Linked DNA regions of Diceros bicornis minor. The protein of the gene in region 2 interacts with the protein of the main gene of each other region in a pairwise test. Links are inferred from orthologs where the notes say so. Each region holds a gene or a part of one and is shown on either strand. Other genes may lie near its edges.

What was found.
Region 1: the proteins of TECR (region 2) and HACD2 interact in binary tests that used the Homo sapiens proteins (3 or more experiments, as listed by UniProt). The link is inferred for Diceros bicornis minor from reciprocal best matches to the Homo sapiens genes TECR and HACD2.

What each region holds. Positions count from the first base shown.
Region 1 is NC_080754.1:24,640,598-24,648,628, reverse strand, and holds the start of HACD2 (very-long-chain (3R)-3-hydroxyacyl-CoA dehydratase 2), read left to right. Parts: upstream 1-4,876; 5' UTR 4,877-4,908; coding exon 4,909-5,063; intron 5,064-8,031. UniProt on the Homo sapiens protein: Catalyzes the third of the very long-chain fatty acids (VLCFA) elongation four-step cycle (condensation, reduction, dehydration, and reduction).
Region 2 is NC_080769.1:3,349,499-3,357,170, forward strand, and holds the start of TECR (very-long-chain enoyl-CoA reductase), read right to left. Parts: upstream 3,006-7,672; 5' UTR 2,991-3,005; coding exon 2,811-2,990; intron 2,184-2,810; coding exon 2,132-2,183; intron 1,802-2,131; coding exon 1,757-1,801; intron 1,661-1,756; coding exon 1,557-1,660; intron 1,483-1,556; coding exon 1,367-1,482; intron 1,290-1,366; coding exon 1,184-1,289; intron 1,052-1,183; coding exon 979-1,051; intron 877-978; coding exon 833-876; intron 762-832; coding exon 704-761; intron 617-703; coding exon 528-616; intron 182-527; coding exon 136-181; intron 61-135; coding exon 1-60. UniProt on the Homo sapiens protein: Involved in both the production of very long-chain fatty acids for sphingolipid synthesis and the degradation of the sphingosine moiety in sphingolipids through the sphingosine 1-phosphate metabolic pathway.

The sequences.
Region 1 (8,031 bases), on a different chromosome or scaffold from region 2:
TCAGAGAAAGCATTCCGACAACAGAAGCAGAGATCGGAGTGATGCGACTGTGAGCCAAGGAATGCCAGCAACTTCTAGAAGCTGGAAGAGGTAAAGAATAGATTCTCGGGGCCGGCCCAGTGGCGCAAGCAGTTAAGCACATGCGCTCTGCTGCGGTGGCCCAGAGTTCACTGGTTCGGATCCCGGGTGCGCACCGACACACTGCTTGTTGGCAAACCATGCTGTGGCAGCATCCCATATAAAGTGGAGGAAGATGGGCATGGATGTTAGCACAAGGCCAGTCTTCCTCAGCAAAAAAAAAAAAAAAAGGACAATTGGCAGATGTTAGCACAGGGCTGATCTCCTCACAAAAACATAAAAATAAAAAATAAAAATAAATAAAAATAAAAAAGAATGGATTCTCCTTTGGAGCCTCCAGAAGGACCAGCCCTGCCAACACCTTGATTTTATTCCTGAAAGAATCATTTTGGACTTCTGATGTACAGAACTGTTAGAGAATAAATTCCTGTTGTTTCAAGCCACTAAATTTATGGTAATTTGTTACAGCGGCAATAGGAAACTAACACATGGGAGTTGATTTTTCTTTTCAGATAATATCTTCAACCTATAACTATATTTAAGAACCTGATTCATTATCACGTCTTAGTTCAAATTTAACTTCTCCAGTTTAGCACTCAAGGCCCAACTATTTATATAAACTCATTTTTATCACCTCACCCTGGTTAGACTTCTGTAGACATGGCTGTGTCCTATTACATTTCTTACCTTTTATCTCCCCTCACTTTAACGACTTTCTACCTTTTGATAACACATCCCTTACTTTCTTTATGATTATGTTCAAGACACTTCTTCGATAAGCTCTTCCTGACTTCTCTCCTCTCACAACAATAACTGCTGCGCAGTCCTCAGATAGGCTGTTTACTTGGATCTCTCTAACCTGCTCAGCGTCCTCAGTTGTTCTTTGAATGTAGCTACTCTCCTCATATGAGACTGTAAGATACTTGGAAGCAGATAATATGCATTCAGTATCTGTTGTTTTAACCTGCTGTATTAGTTTTCTGTGGCTGCTGTAACAAATTATCACAAACTAGGTGGCTTAAAACATATTTGTTCTCTCACCATTCTCAGAAGTCTGAGATCAAGGTATTGACAAGTCTGCACTGCCTCTGGAGGCTCTAAGGGAGAATTCATTTTCTGTATCTTTCACGTTCCAGTGGCTGTCATCATTCCTCGATTCGTGGTGGCATCACTCCAGTCTCTGCCTCCATGGTCGCATTGCCTCCTCCTCTGTGTCTATTTTATAAGGATATATGTGATTGCATTTAGGGCCCATCTGGATAATCCAGTATTATCTTCTCATCTCAAGATCTTTAATTTAAATATATCTGCAAAGACCCTTTTTCCAAATATGGTAACATTCACAGATATTTGACATCAATATCATTAGAGGGAACATTTTTCAGCCTACCATACCTGCCCAATATCCATCCCCTTCTTCTGGTAATAACTCCCTTATTACTTCCTGAGGAACTACATCCCCCTAATTGGGGGGGATGTATAAACTCAAATCAAGCAGTTTAGGTAAAGCCTCCCTCCTCCCACTATAGGTATACAACAAGGACCTGGCCAACCAGCATATTCTATCCCCTTTGGCCACAATGATTGACCACGGGCATGTGACTCAAGCTAGTGCGATTACTTTCCAGGACTTTTGTCAGAACAAATGGGAAGGAGACATGGTTTTTGTTCTGGGACCACTTGATTAAGCAAAAGGAATGTACTGACTTACTTGCTGGGAAAAATAATGAGATAATCCTCAAAATCGAAGGAAAAGCATTAGGTACCAGGCTCAGGGACTAGAACCAAGACTCAGTGCCCCCAAGACACATGCTCCCTCTCATGTCTGCTTGATTTCTTTCTATTAACAATCTCTCTCCAAACGGAAGGCAAGATGTTTGTCTGGAGCCAGGCGCACATCCTCTTATCTTTAACAACCCTGGCAAAAAGACAAACACTACACCCCAGCATCCATATATCAATTTCACAGAAGGACTCTGATGAGCTCTGCTTGCGTCATCATAGTCCTAAGTCTTAAAATAATTACTTTTGCTAGAGAAACCATGATTAATGACTGTGTCATGTTGCCAGGCAACGTGTCAGGCAATGAGGGGGAAAAACACAAACATAAACAACTCAAACAAACCACCACCACCGAGAAAATACCACTATTCCTGTTTTATAAAACTCGTAGTCTAGAGGAGAAAAAACATCACACAAAAAAATATAAAATTACTGTGGTATATGTGATGAGAAAAAGTACATGGAGACCATAGCAGGGAGAATAATCCATTACAGAAGTTCAGGGAAAGTGATAGCAGAATTTAGATCAGAAGGAGGAAGATAGGGATGGAGATTGTTCTAGGCAGAGGCAATAACATGTTCAACGTCCTCATGGCAGAAAGGAGCATTGCTCACTGGAAGACCTAAGATAAAACCAGTATGTCTAGGGAGAGTATTGTGTGACGTGAGACTGAAGTAGGTAGGGGCAAGACCAGGCACATTATTGTAGGCCACGTTAAATATTTTATACTTTATCTTAGGTGTCATTAAAAGCCACTTAAATGTTTCAAGGGGGTGGGGAGAGGGAAGATAGTGGACACGAACAAGTTTGTATTTGTGACTGTACTGTAGAGGACAGATTGGAGTTGGGCCTAAGTGACTGTAAGAAGATACATTGAGTTTTAAATTGATTTCCAACTGACAGAGCTTTATGCATTCCTGCCTCCTACTTTCCCATTAAGTGGTCATATTAAAAAAAAAAAATCATTAAATGAATGAAAAACGCTTTTAGAGGAGTGATTACTTGCTCTGCAAAACCGCTCACTTCTTTATTTCTTTTGTAAATTGTTTTCCCTCTGAATACAGTCTGCAATTTGAGTACACTAACTTGCTCTTTAAAGAAGTAAGGAAAATCAGACAACAGAACCTCTACACAATCTGTGGGGCTGTAGAGGATGAGACCCTGACAGTTGTTTAGTTGCTGTCTCAATCTGTAGATGTCTCATGGCTCTAAATACCATCACCACCCTGATGACTCTCAAATTTATCTCTAGTCCACACTTCTTCCCTGAACTTCAGTGTCTAAATCTAATTGTCTATTCAACTTTTCTACTTGGATGTCTAACAAAGATTTCAAACTCAACAAGTAAAAAACAAAATTGCTGATTTCTGTCTTCAAAATCGCTTCTTCTAGGGCGCCAGTCTGGTGGTGTAGCAGTTAAGTTCACGTGCTTCACTTTTGGCAGCCCAGGGTTTGCAGGTTCAGATGCCTGCCACAGACCTGTACACCTCTTATCAAGCCATGCTGTGGCAGGCGTCCCACGTATAAAATAATGGAAGATGGGCACAAATGTTAGCTCAGGGCCAATGTTCCTCAGGAAAAAGAGGAGGACTGGCCAGGGAGGTTAGCTCAGCGTTAATTTTCCTCACTAAAAAAAAAAAAATCACTTCTACAATTCAATTTTTCCAACTTGCTCACAATGTCTCCTTTACCTCATACTCCACATCTAATACATCCACAAATCTTATCAGCTCTACTCCTAAAATATGTCCAGAATTCAATTGTTTTCACCACCTCAAGCAAGACCACTCCGGCCCAGACCACTATCACTACAGCCTGGATTATTGCAATAACTTCCTGATATCAGTTTTCCACAACTAATACATATTTATTTTCTTCTGGCTCCCTCTATATAATCTCTGGGAGACGGAGGACTTGTCTCTTTCATTTGGCGCCAAGAACTCCAGGGCAAGCTTGCAGACGTCCCATAAATACTTGATGGAATGAATAAATAAATATTTTATACCACCACATATACAGTAATTCATTTAAGGAAATGTTTGTGTGAAAATCGACGGTAAGGGACTTTTACAGAAACTCCTAGAACAAAAAAAAACAGTGAATGGAAAATAGGGTCAGCTGGTTAAAGCAGTTTCCACAGGCAGACAGGTTTTCCCCGTAAGCCAAAATCTCTCTATTTTTGGCCACTGTGGGTGGAAAACTTCTTGCTCCACTCGGCACCTCACCCTCAGCCGACTGCCTAATAACCTCACCCTGGTCCTGCCTGCTGGACGGGGGAGCCCACGAGGCCTCGGGCTGGAAGATGCCCTTGAGCACCCTCCAGGCCTCACGGATGACACTGGATCCTAGGCACACAGGCGACTTTAATCGGACAGTAAAAGGGGCAAACTTCTCGTTGACCTTCTCCACTCTACTACTAACTTAAAATCTAAATGCATAAATGCAGGGACGAAACCTTTGGAGACTGAACCTTCAACCTGGCCACTGGTTAAGGAGCAGAGCGCACAAAGCAGAAGGGCTATTCCCGGCCGGCCTCTGGGGTTGACGAGAAGCGAAGTCGTCAATTGCCCTGACGCAAAATAGCAGATCACGTGTATAGGGGTGAAGATAGGGCCATTGGGAGAAGCCAAGATGAGAAGCGAGAACGAAAGCATCATTTTCTTGATCCAACATGGAGGCGGAGGTTACAGGAGAGAGAATGGCCAGGGACGACGAAGCATCCACTTGGCAGAAACAGCAGGCCTGGCGAAGAAAGCCAAAGGCGACACTGACCTAATCCAAGATGGCGCCAGAGGTTATTACCGGGAGCGCAAAAGAGGCGATGATGACCCCGATCCAAGATGGCGGTGGCGTGTGAGGCGCGCCGAGGGGCGGGAAGCGACAGGAGCGCCTTTGCCCTCCTCCAAGATGGCGGCCGCCGTGGGCGCTGTCCCTGGCTCCGCCCCGCGGCCGCGGCCCCGCCTTCCCCCGTTCTCCTTTCGCCGCCTCGCAGCGCCGTGTCCGAGCGGTGATGCTCGCGCGGGGAGAGCGGGCTCCGGACGCTTGACATGGCGGCAGGGGCGGCGACTGCAGCAGCGAAGGGGAATGGGGGCGGCGGAGGCCGGGCCGGGGCCGGCGAAGCTGGCGGCGCGCGGAAGAAGAAAGGCCCAGGGCCTCTGGCCACGGCGTACCTAGTCATCTACAATGTGGTGATGACGGCGGGGTGAGGCTGGGGCTCGGGGAGGGGGCTCTGCGGCCGGCGGGGCGGCCCGGCCCGGCCCGCGTGCAGCGCATCCCTGCCGGGGCGTGTGCGGGACCCGGCACCCGGGCGCTGCGGGCAGCGAGCGCTGAATCGGCCCCGGTGCCTGCCCAGGACGCCTGCCTGCGCGGGTGGCCGAGCAAGTTCACAGGCGCGGGCGTGCGCCGAGCTGGAGTCGGGGGCTCCGGGGGGCACGGGGAAGGCGGCCCGGGCGCTGGTCTGGAGGGCCTTGGGAGGGCGGCTGGGCTGGCCACAGGGCCAGGTTTGGGGGCCGGGCGATCCTGCAGCGCAGAGGAGAGCCCAGGCGGCGTGTCACGCATGGCGAGCTCTTCCCCCAAGGGGAGTGGAGGAAGCTGTGGCTGCAGAGTGACCATTTGTTTAGGCGGCTGTTTTCAAAAGCCAGGTTGAACTTTAATCTGGAAGGTAATGGAAAAACGTTCAAAGTTTTTGACCAGTGACGTGAGCAGGGCTGTGCTTTAGATGAGTTTAGACTTTTTAGGATGGATTGGGGTGAAGAAGATACTGGGGGTGGAAGGCAGAGTTACTGGGGAGCAGGGAAATAGACCCTCGAAACGGGTTTTACCCCCTCTTGTTCCCCCTCATTGCCCTTCATCCTTTGTCACAGAGGGTTTTTAGTTCTAGTTTTAACACTAACTAGCTGTGTGACCTTGGATAAATCACTTTATTTTTCATGGTCTCCGTTTTTTCATCTGTAAAACTAAGGAGTTTGGGTTAGGTGATCTCTAAGCTTCTTCCGGTTCTTTGAGCCCATGGTTTTGGTGAGGAGGACCACAGAATCAGACTATTTGTTATGTATTTTTGAATGACATTCATTTGTAAAAAAAAATTAGCCCTACAATTTTATTATGAAAATTTTTAAACATGCAGAAAAGTCGAAAGAACTGTATAGTGGGCATCTGTTTTATTTTTTTTTTTTATTTTTTTTTTTTTTTGTGAGGAAGATCAGCCCTGTGCTAACATTCGCCAATCCTCCTCTTTTTTTGCTGAGGAAGACGGCCCTGGTAACATCTGTGCCCATCTTCCTCCACTTTTTACATGGGACGCCGCCACAGCATGGCTTGCCAAGCAGTGCGTCGGTGCGCACCCGGGATCCGAACCAGCGAACCCCGGGCCGCCGCAGCGGAGCGCGCGCACTTAACCGCTTGCGCCACCGGGCCGGCCCCATGTTTTATTTTTTAAATAGGTACTTCATTGGCAGGCTGCAAAATTCAAAATATACACAAAAATGTACAGTGAAACTCTCCTCTCACCCTTCCCTTCCACCCAGATCCCCTCCATGGGGGCACTCATTTTGTGTATCCTTCAGATGCTGATACAAGCAAATATATACATTCCCCCACCCCCTCCCCTTTTTTTAAAACACAAATGCTAATGTCATACTAGCGTTTCAGCACCTTGTTTTTTCACAAAAAAATATCTTAGGAGGATCATAGGCTTTATTGCTAGTATTAGAAATGGCGGGTGTTGAAACCTAGGCTCAGAGAAGTTGTGACCTGCTTGATGTCACAGAAAGTACAGTAGGCCCCCCTTATCCTCAAGGAATACGTTCCAGGTCCCCCAGTGGGTGCCTGAAACCACAGATAGTACCAAACCCTATATGTTACTGTTTTTCCCCATACATTATATCTATGATAAAGTTAAATTCATAAATTAGGCATGATAAAAGATTAACAATGACTAATAATAAAGTAGAACAATTATAACAATATATTGTAATAAAAGTTACTGTAGACCTTAGCAACGTCAGCATACGATTTTTTTCTTTCCTCATTAAGTCAAGAACTCTCACCTTTTCACTTAAAGGAAGCACTTTATGGCTCCTCTTTAGCGTTTCCGAATTGCCAGCTTCACTGCTGTTGCACTTTGGGGCCATTATTAAGTGAAATAGGGTTACCTGAACACAAGCACTGCAGTACCACTACAGTGGATCTGATAACCCAGAGGGTACTAAGTGACTAAGGGGCCGGTACATGCGTGTATCCGCTGGACAAAGGGAAGATTCACGTCCTTGGGGGACACGGAGCAGGACCACGAGAGATTTCATCAGGCTACTCAGAACGGCACAGGATTTAAAACTTATGAATTGTTTATTTCTGGAATTTTCCATTTAATATTTTCAAACTGAGATTGACCACAGGTAACGGAAACTGTGGAAAAGAAACGGAGGATAAGGGGGGAACTACTACTATAGGAGATCTGGATCTAGAACCTTTTTCTCTTGACTCACAGGCCAGTGAAGATATGTATTACAGATGCAAGTTTCTTTATCACATAAATGGTCACAGAGTGATTTTTTAAAAGAACATTCAGGAGTGTGTGTATTTATACTTATACATAAAATTCTTAGCTCAGCAAGGGTGTTGATGAGACTATTGGACTGGAAAGAGGTGTTAAGTTACACTGGGGAAGAAGGAAAAAGGTCTTTATTCCTGGGTGATGAACATAGAGAGTGGGGTGGAGGTATCTGAAACCAGGAAGAGAAATTGGGATTGTGAGAGTAAAGTAAGCTTTTTTGTAGGCTGCTAATTCTGGACCAGTTACACCATTAAGGAATCATTTCTCTTTTAATAAACATTTATTTGATGTCCTTAGATGATAGTTTCTACAAATAACATAGACCACCTACCCCATTACCTAGTTGAGATTGTACATTTATGTAAATCGATCGCTGCTTTCAAGGAGAGATACCTTAATAATAAAGGTCCATTCGTTTCATTATGGAACTTAACAAATAAAAAATTACAGGGCCTGAGAAATTTATTTTTGAGAGGGACATAGAACAGAAATATAATGTTCACTGTGATATGCCTAAGTGCTTCCCTGTTTTGTATTTTGTATTGGTCTGACTTTCTTTACTGAATTGATTTTTGAAACTTAGCTAAAAAAAAAAAAACTTTTATTCTTATTTCAC
Region 2 (7,672 bases):
AGTGCTTGCCCTTGGCCCAGATGGTCATCTGCGTGAAGCCCACCAGGGAGAAGAGGGCCACTGTGGGGCAGAGCGGGTGTCAGGGGGGCCGCGCAGCCAGCCGGGCAGGGCGTCGGGGGCGGGCAGCCAGCTCACCTGGGAGACACTGGGTCATGATAGCAAAGCCGATCCAGGACCCCACCTGCGGGCAGAGCGCGGGTGAGGGCGGGCGGGCGGCGCCCCTGTTCCCGAGGCCCCGCCCACCCCTGGGCCGCCTCCCCCAACCCTTACTTTCCGTGTGGGGGTGGGAACCGAAGGCCAGTGCTAGAGGGACCTCGAATAAGGGGGTCCGTGATGAAGCTGCCCCTCGGCCGCCAACAGCTGTACGCCGAGCCTGACGCCCCCCAACCCCCAGGGAGCTGCAGACTCTGCATCGCCAGATCCTCCAAGGTCAGAGCGCAAAAGCAGCAGCGGAGCCAGGTGCCCTACCAGAGGCGGGCTCTCCACAGGGGACCCCGGGGCCGGCGGAAGGGCTGGCAGACCCTCACCTCGTAGGTGTAGTTGGGGCAGGACACCAGCAGGAAGAGCCACGTGAAGGGGTTCTTGGTGGGGTAGGGAATCTTCCTGGTCTTGGACCCTGGCGGGCAGGATGCGAGGGGTGAGACCCGCCCCCCCACAGCGCGGCCTGCCCAGCCCGACCCCCCCACCCCACCAGGCCACTCACCAGCTGGCCGCAGGTCGCGCAGGGCCATGTGGATGGAGAAGTTGCCAAGTTGGCAGATCTGTCGGAGGAGCAGCGTCAGCCGGGAGCCCCCAGACGCCCCCCACCCGTCATCTGGCCCAGCCCGCTTACCACAAAGATGGCGAGCGCTAGTTTAACCTGCTGAGCTCCATAGGCTGAAGGGGAAGCACAGGGGAGGGGAGGCCCGTGAGGGAGAGGCGGTGGCGGGGAAGGGAGGCCCGCGGGGGCGGGGGTGAGCGGGGTCGGAGGCCACTTACTGGGGGGCGTGTAGAGAGGGTGGTTGATGTAATAGGCCATCCAGGCGGCGAAGCCCCAGTAGTAAGTGCAGTTCTGAAAGGGAACAGGGCCAGGTGGAGGCCTGAGGTCCAGCGGAGGGCCCGCGGGTGCGCGGGGTTGGGGGGGCGTGTCTGGGGTCCAACAGAGGGCCGCGGGGGGCGGGGGCGGGGGCGGGCGGGCGCTCACCTTGAAGATGTTGCGCAAGGGCATGGTGCCGTGGGAGAAGCGGTGCACGAAGAGCGTCTCCAACAGGCGCTTGACGTAGTGGAATGAGTGGCAGATGCAGGCCAGGCTGTAGGGGGAGCCGGCTCAGCGGGGAGGTCCAGCAGGCCCCCCGCCGCCGCCGCCCTCCCGCCCGGCCCCACTCACTGCACCACCGTGTGCCTGCTGGACGTGAAGTCGTATCTGTGGCCGTAGATGAAGGGCACCCGGAAGTAGAAGAGCAGGTAGATGAAAAGGGGCCCCGCGTACTCTGTCAGGAAGACCTGGGGGCAGGGGAGCAGGGAGTTACCCTGATGTGGCTGATGGCAGAGGAGGCCAGGGCGGGGGTGGGACTCACCGTCACCCAGCTGATCTGGGCCCCCAGGTCCCGGAAGTAAAGTGTGGCCGTGGTGCCCACAGGCAGCTTCTGCAGGACATCCTCGTCCTTCAGGGACTTGCCCTCTGTGGAGAGGCAGGCCAGGGTTCAGGGGCGTCCAGGCCTCCGCCCACTGCCCCCGGGGGGGGGCCCAGCGGCGGTGGAGGGACAGCTGTACTCACTGGGGTCCAGGCGGAGGGACTGGCGGGCAGGGTACCACTGCGGATCTGCGGGGAGAGCGGAGCATCACCGTGCACAGCCTGGCGGGGCCCAGGGACCCCCAGCTGCTCCCGGCCCCTCAGAAGACAAGGCCTGTGAGGCCTGTGTGGCTCCCGGACACAGCCCAGACGAGCAGGACAAAGGCAGGTGCTGCCCTTCCCAAAGCCCAGCAAGGGCATTCCTGCCGATGGCCACACGGTGGCACCCGTCCCAGGGAAGCCGGGCCACACTGGGGCCATCTCTGCAGGCCCTGGGCAAGAGGCGGGCAGGACCGGTTCCACCCAGAGGCCCCTGCTCAGAGAGGTCGCAGGAGGCAGTGGGCTGGGCCCTGGACTTACGGCTCTTGGTGAAAAGGTTCTTGATCTCAGCAATGGTGGCCTGGGGCTCCACCTGGGGGAAGCACAGGCCACAGGGACCTCAGCCCTGGGGGGAGTCCACACCAGGATCCAGGATCCCTCCTGGAGGGCATGGACTGGGGTCAGGGCAGCTGCTACAGGAGGGGGGTGTGGGGGTCCAGGCCCCCACCTGCATGGCAGAGAGGAGCAGCAAGGCCCGTGCCAGAATGGGACAGCCGTGGGCCTGAGGGCCTGGTTTTACCAGGCAGCCAGGACGCCCCGCCTGGCTGGGAGACGGTTTGAGCACGGGAAGCGGGACCTGCATCTCTGCCTCTCCCCTCCACCCACAGCTGCCCCAGAGTAAAGGCCCTCTGTCCAGGCCAGGCCTCCCCTGGGACGGAACAAGCCCCTTCCCCTGGCCTGGCCTCGGCAGGGGCAGGTCTCAGGACGCCTCCTCCTTCCCAGGCCCCGAGGAAGCCAGCTCCCGGCCACACCCAGGGCCAGGACTGCCCACTCTACCCTGGGGGCCGACTGGCTGGGCAGGGACAGTACCCCTCATGCACCCTGAGAGGCAGGGGTGGGGAGTCATGACCCAGGGTGGAGGGACTCCCCTCTCCCTCGGGGCCAGGAGCCCCAGCAAGAGTGGGTCCCGGGCCCAGCGCAGCCAGCGCCACGGTCCCACCTTGTCCAGGAAGCACAGCTTCTCTCGCGTCTTCGCGTCCAGAATCTCCACCTCGAAGAAGAGAACAGCCTTTTTAGGCTTCTTGGCCGCCTTAGGGGGCGTGGGCCGGGGGAGGCCATTGACGCCGGGGCCGAGGCCCTGGCTGGCCTCCCGGGCCACCAAGCTCATGCTCAGATCCATGCTACCCCGCTCTGCCGGCCGTGGCCAGCGCCCCAGCTGCCGGCCGTCAGCCCCCACCACGGACCGCCCCACGCGAGCGGCTCTGGGCCGGGCTGGCGCAATCACATTCTGCCGCGGTGCTGGAGAAAAGCCCGCGCCTGCCCTGGCGCTCTGCAGACGCCACTCCAGTGGCCCAGCAGCCACGGCTAAATATAAAACTGCCCCAGACCGGGCCCCAGGACCACACACAGACCACTGGGGGCCTGGGGCAGCCCCCCAGGGCCGGATGGCCCTGAAAGTGAGGCTTTCCAGTGGACACGGCCCCCAACAGCCCCGGGGACAGGGAGATGCCCAGAGATGGGGGTGAAGGCACCTCCCAGCCCCGCTGCCCACGGGTGGGGGCCCAGTGCCAGGAGGAGGGTGAGCTGGTGAGTGTCCAGCTCAGGCCCGCAGAGCTCACTGGGCTTGGAGAAATCCCAGCTATTCTGAGAACCTGTGAGATAGAGCATCCGTTTCCCCTCCTGAGCTGTAAAAGCCACTCGGGATTACTTTCCTCGTGCATTTGTGTTTCCAGGGAGGTGACAGATTCCGGAGTTGCTGGTGCACAGAGACTCTAAGTGTGGAAAGGCTCGGGAACCCGCAAGTTTCCAGCAGACACGCCCGCCTTAGCTGGTGAGGCCTCGGCAACTTGCTCCCGACCTCCCTCTCCACCCATTTCTCACCCACGCCTTGCTCCAGGCCACCTTCAGGGCCATCCTCCCGAGTGTCAGCCCAACACAGCACCCTCATCCAGACCCTGAGCTCCTCAAAGCCCAGAGCACACAGCCTGGGCCTCCCTGCACCTCCTGGGTCCACGGGCCAGGCCAGCGCCAGGCCCTGAGAGAGGAGCCTGCCCAGCCTCTCTACCTGAGCACCCAGGCAGGGGCCAGACAGTGGGGGTGCAGAGGGGCAGTGCTGGGAGGGAGGGAGCCCCCAAGCAGGTCAGAGGAGGGGCGTGGGTGGATCACAGCAGGCCCGAGTGCCCCGTGCAGGGCTTGGCCTGGATCCTATCAGACACGGGGCTGTGGCAGGCAAGGCTGGGTCTGACCCCAAGCTAGCCTCTGGCCGGCAGGTACTGAGGACGCTCCCCACGCCCAGAGCCCCTGGGGGGCCCTCGGTCAGCGGCAGCATGGGGAGGAGGAGCAGGACACGAAAACCAGGGCTGGGCCCACCAGGGCTCTCTGAGCGCAGGCCCACTTCCCCGGCGCCCAGAGCCCCCCCGAAGGGAAGGGCTCCCCTCACACACGCCCAGGGACAGTGGGAGAGGAGGGGGTGCTGGGAGCACAGGGGGGCTCCCCGAAGCCAGCCTCGCCACGCAGTCACTTCTCTCTGAGCCTCAGCCAGGGACAGTGCGGGGAGGCGTGTGACCCCAGGGCAGTCGGGTTCCGTGAGACAGTGCGAGCGAGGCACCGGCGTGGTGCCTGACAGGTGCAAGTGCCCCAAGGCCTCGGGCCCTGAGGACGGGCTGAGGAGGCCGTGGCGCTGCGACAAAGCGCAGGGCAGGGCCGGGGGCAGACCCTCACCCTCCCGCTGGGGCCAGTCTCTGCTGCGCCCGCCCCACATTCGTGGACGGGAGGGCAGGACACGGCCCGGCACCTGAGAAGTCCTAGCCGATGCTGCCCACTGTTACCGGCGAGAGAGCGTCCGCCGCCAGCTGTGGGCCCTGACCGGCCATGTGGCCTGGGAGGCAGGCGACTGAACCCTCCGAGCCACAGGGATGACAAAGCCAAACGAGGAGCCAGAAAGGGAGAGCTGGCCATACTGCCCGGAGTTCTGGCCACACCAAGAGGACTCGTGGGAGGGGGAGGGACACACGAGGAATGTGCCAGGAAGGGCTGGGACAGCAGGTCCCAGGCGGGCACAGGGCCTGCCACGTGGCTGCAGGTATACTAATAGTTCCTGGGTCCCCTCGGGCAGCGCCCACGCCCTCGGAGCCCACGGGCCCGCAGGAGGACAGCACCAGCCGACCAGGAGAGCAGGCCCCCGAGTTCCTGCTGAACCACTCAGCAGCTTAAAATACAACCAGCCCCTCTCCGCGGTGGCCAGCTGCGGGGGGGCTGAAACCCTACCCTCTGCCCTGCCGGGACACCGCACCAGAGCCCAGAGGAGAGCAGCGCCGTCGGGGGCCCCGACCAGCCGCCGGGAGAGGACTCAGGGCGGCAGGAGGGCAGCCGGGAGAGGGGCCCTGCACCCAGGCCCGCCCGAGGCCGGAGGAGGGAGAGGAGAGGAGAGGAGAAGAGAGGAGAAGACAGGAGAGGAGCGGAGCGGCCGGCGCCCTCCCAGAGGTAAGCCCGCCCTCGGGGTGGGGGTGCCCCAGCTCAGGGCTGCCGAGGGAGAATGGGTCCTCACTTCCATTTCCTGCCCCCAAATCCCCCAAACCCCAGAGATGTCTGAAAGGCCTATGGGGAGTACCCAGGTCTCTCCATATGATTTTTGCAATTCCCTGTGCCTCTATAATTATTTCAAAATAAAAAGTTAAGTGAAAGATACGTGAGGTGGGGAAAGAAAATTACGCTAGGTGAAAGAAGCCAGACACGTATTTATGTGAAATGTCCAGAAAAGGTAAATCCAGAGAGACAGAAAGCAAATGGGTGGTTGCCAGGGGCTGGGGGTGGGAGAGAGTGGCTAACGAGGACCTGGTCTTCTTTTGGGGTGATGGAATGTTCTGGAACTAGACAGAGGTGGTGGTGGCAAAATACTGTGAATGTACCACATGCTGCTGAGCTATTCACTTTTAAAGGGTTAATTTTACATCATGTGAATTTCACATCAATAAGTTGTTTTAAATGGGGGTCTAATAAACAGGCCCCAATCATTCATTAAAAAAAAGTCCCAGGGCAGGGAGCTGCAGAGGTCCCTCCCCCACCCCCACAACTGAGGGACTAACGTGGGGGACCCCGTGTGTGCTCCCCAGTCTTCAGTCCCTGGGGTTCCCCTCCACTGCACCCTCCCTGCCCGCTGTCACCCCACGCCCTGTGCTTGCGGCGCACGCGCCCTCAGGGCCCAGGAGGGAGGTGCAGCGGCTGCTGAGCTGGGCCCCAGGTAGGGCCCTGAGCACACAAGGGCGGCGGCAGCCCCGGCCCACCCCGGGAGGCGCCGAGGGAAGGAGCAGGGACAGCCCTCCTGCCCCCTGGAGGGAAGGGCTGGGGACTGGGGAGCGATCTGTTGAACCGCCGCATGAAGTGGGGCCTGTAGGGTCGCTGGCCAGAGGTCCTGCAGGCAGGGGTGTGGCGCTGCAGCCTCAGGCACAGGGGACACAGAGGACGAGGACAAGGCGGTGCCTCTGCGATGGGAGGGTTCTCACCCAGAGGCCCGGGTTCGGGCCCAGCCAGCTGCAGCTCGTGGCAGCACGAGGTCAGGGCGGGAAGGGGGGGACTGGGGCGGGCCCAAGCCCACCCTGCAGGAGGGGCAGGGTCAGGCTGCAGCGGTCCCCAGCCCGGGGGAGCACCCGGAGCCACTGCCGAGCGGGGCCCAGGTCTTCGCTGTCTCCGTGGAAGCACAGATGCTGCAGACGGAGGGAGCGGCAGCAGGACAGGGCGCCCTCGTTCTAGCACCTGCTCCGAGCAGCGCCGGTGCCCAGAGCCCCAGGGAGGCGAGGCTCCCGGGACAGTCCCTGTCCAGCAGACGAGAAAGCCAGAGCGGTTATGCAACCGCAGGAGACACTCAGGGCCTTTGCACATGCTGCTCCCACTGCCTAGACCGCTCTCCCCAGACCCCACAGGCCCCTCCCACACCTCCTCCAGCCTTCGGATGACCCCTCAGCGGCCCTTCCCGACCATCGACTTACACAGTGCCTCTCACTGGACGTCACTCCCAAGGGGGGACTGGCCTGTTCTCAGTCGTTTCTGGCCCCCAGAACAGAGCCTGGCCAGGAGCCGTGCTCGGTGGACGCCTGCGAGAGGCACATGGGCCGGCCCCCTCAGCCCCTCCCTGGCTCCCCTTCCCCACACTCGGGAGCTACCAGGGCAGTCCCTGTCACAGGCCGGGGCCTCACCCCAGGGAAGCCTCTGTGAGGCCCGCAGACACGCCCGCCCGGCTCCGGTGACCCCATGAGGCCAGAACTCGCGCTGCCGGGCCTCCTCCCAGGCTCTGGGGCACTGCTCACTGAGGAACGGTCCGTGACTGAGCCGGCGCCGGCTCTGGTGAAGCTCGCTGCCCTTCTTCAGCAGCAATCCCAACACAGAGGGGCTCCCCGCGGCCGGGCCCTCACAGGTGGTGCCACAGGGCAGCGGCTCCCTCACGAACAGGCCTCCAGGGCCTCCTCAGCTGTGCTCACACTCCCCAGGCTCTGAGGTCAAAAAGACTCACCTACTTCCTAGCTGTGTGGCCCTGGACAAGTTACCCAAGCTCTCTGAGCCTCCATTTCCTCCTCTACAGAGTGGGCTGCCCCACCTGCCATCTCACAGGGTTACCGTAAGATTTACAGAGATGACAATAACAACAGCCCCAAAAAGTTCATAAAGGTACCCAGCCTGGAACAAATCTTACAAAGAATAAATATTACGAGACCCATACTAGCAAAACAACACTGGCAGACGCGCAAGGGGCCAGGCCCCTTCTCCCAAACCATGACCGTGACCATGAGGGCGCAACCACAGGACGCCAAGGTCAGAGAGGTGACAGTGCTGCCCCACCCAGCTGCTGACAGGGAGCCCGAACCCTAA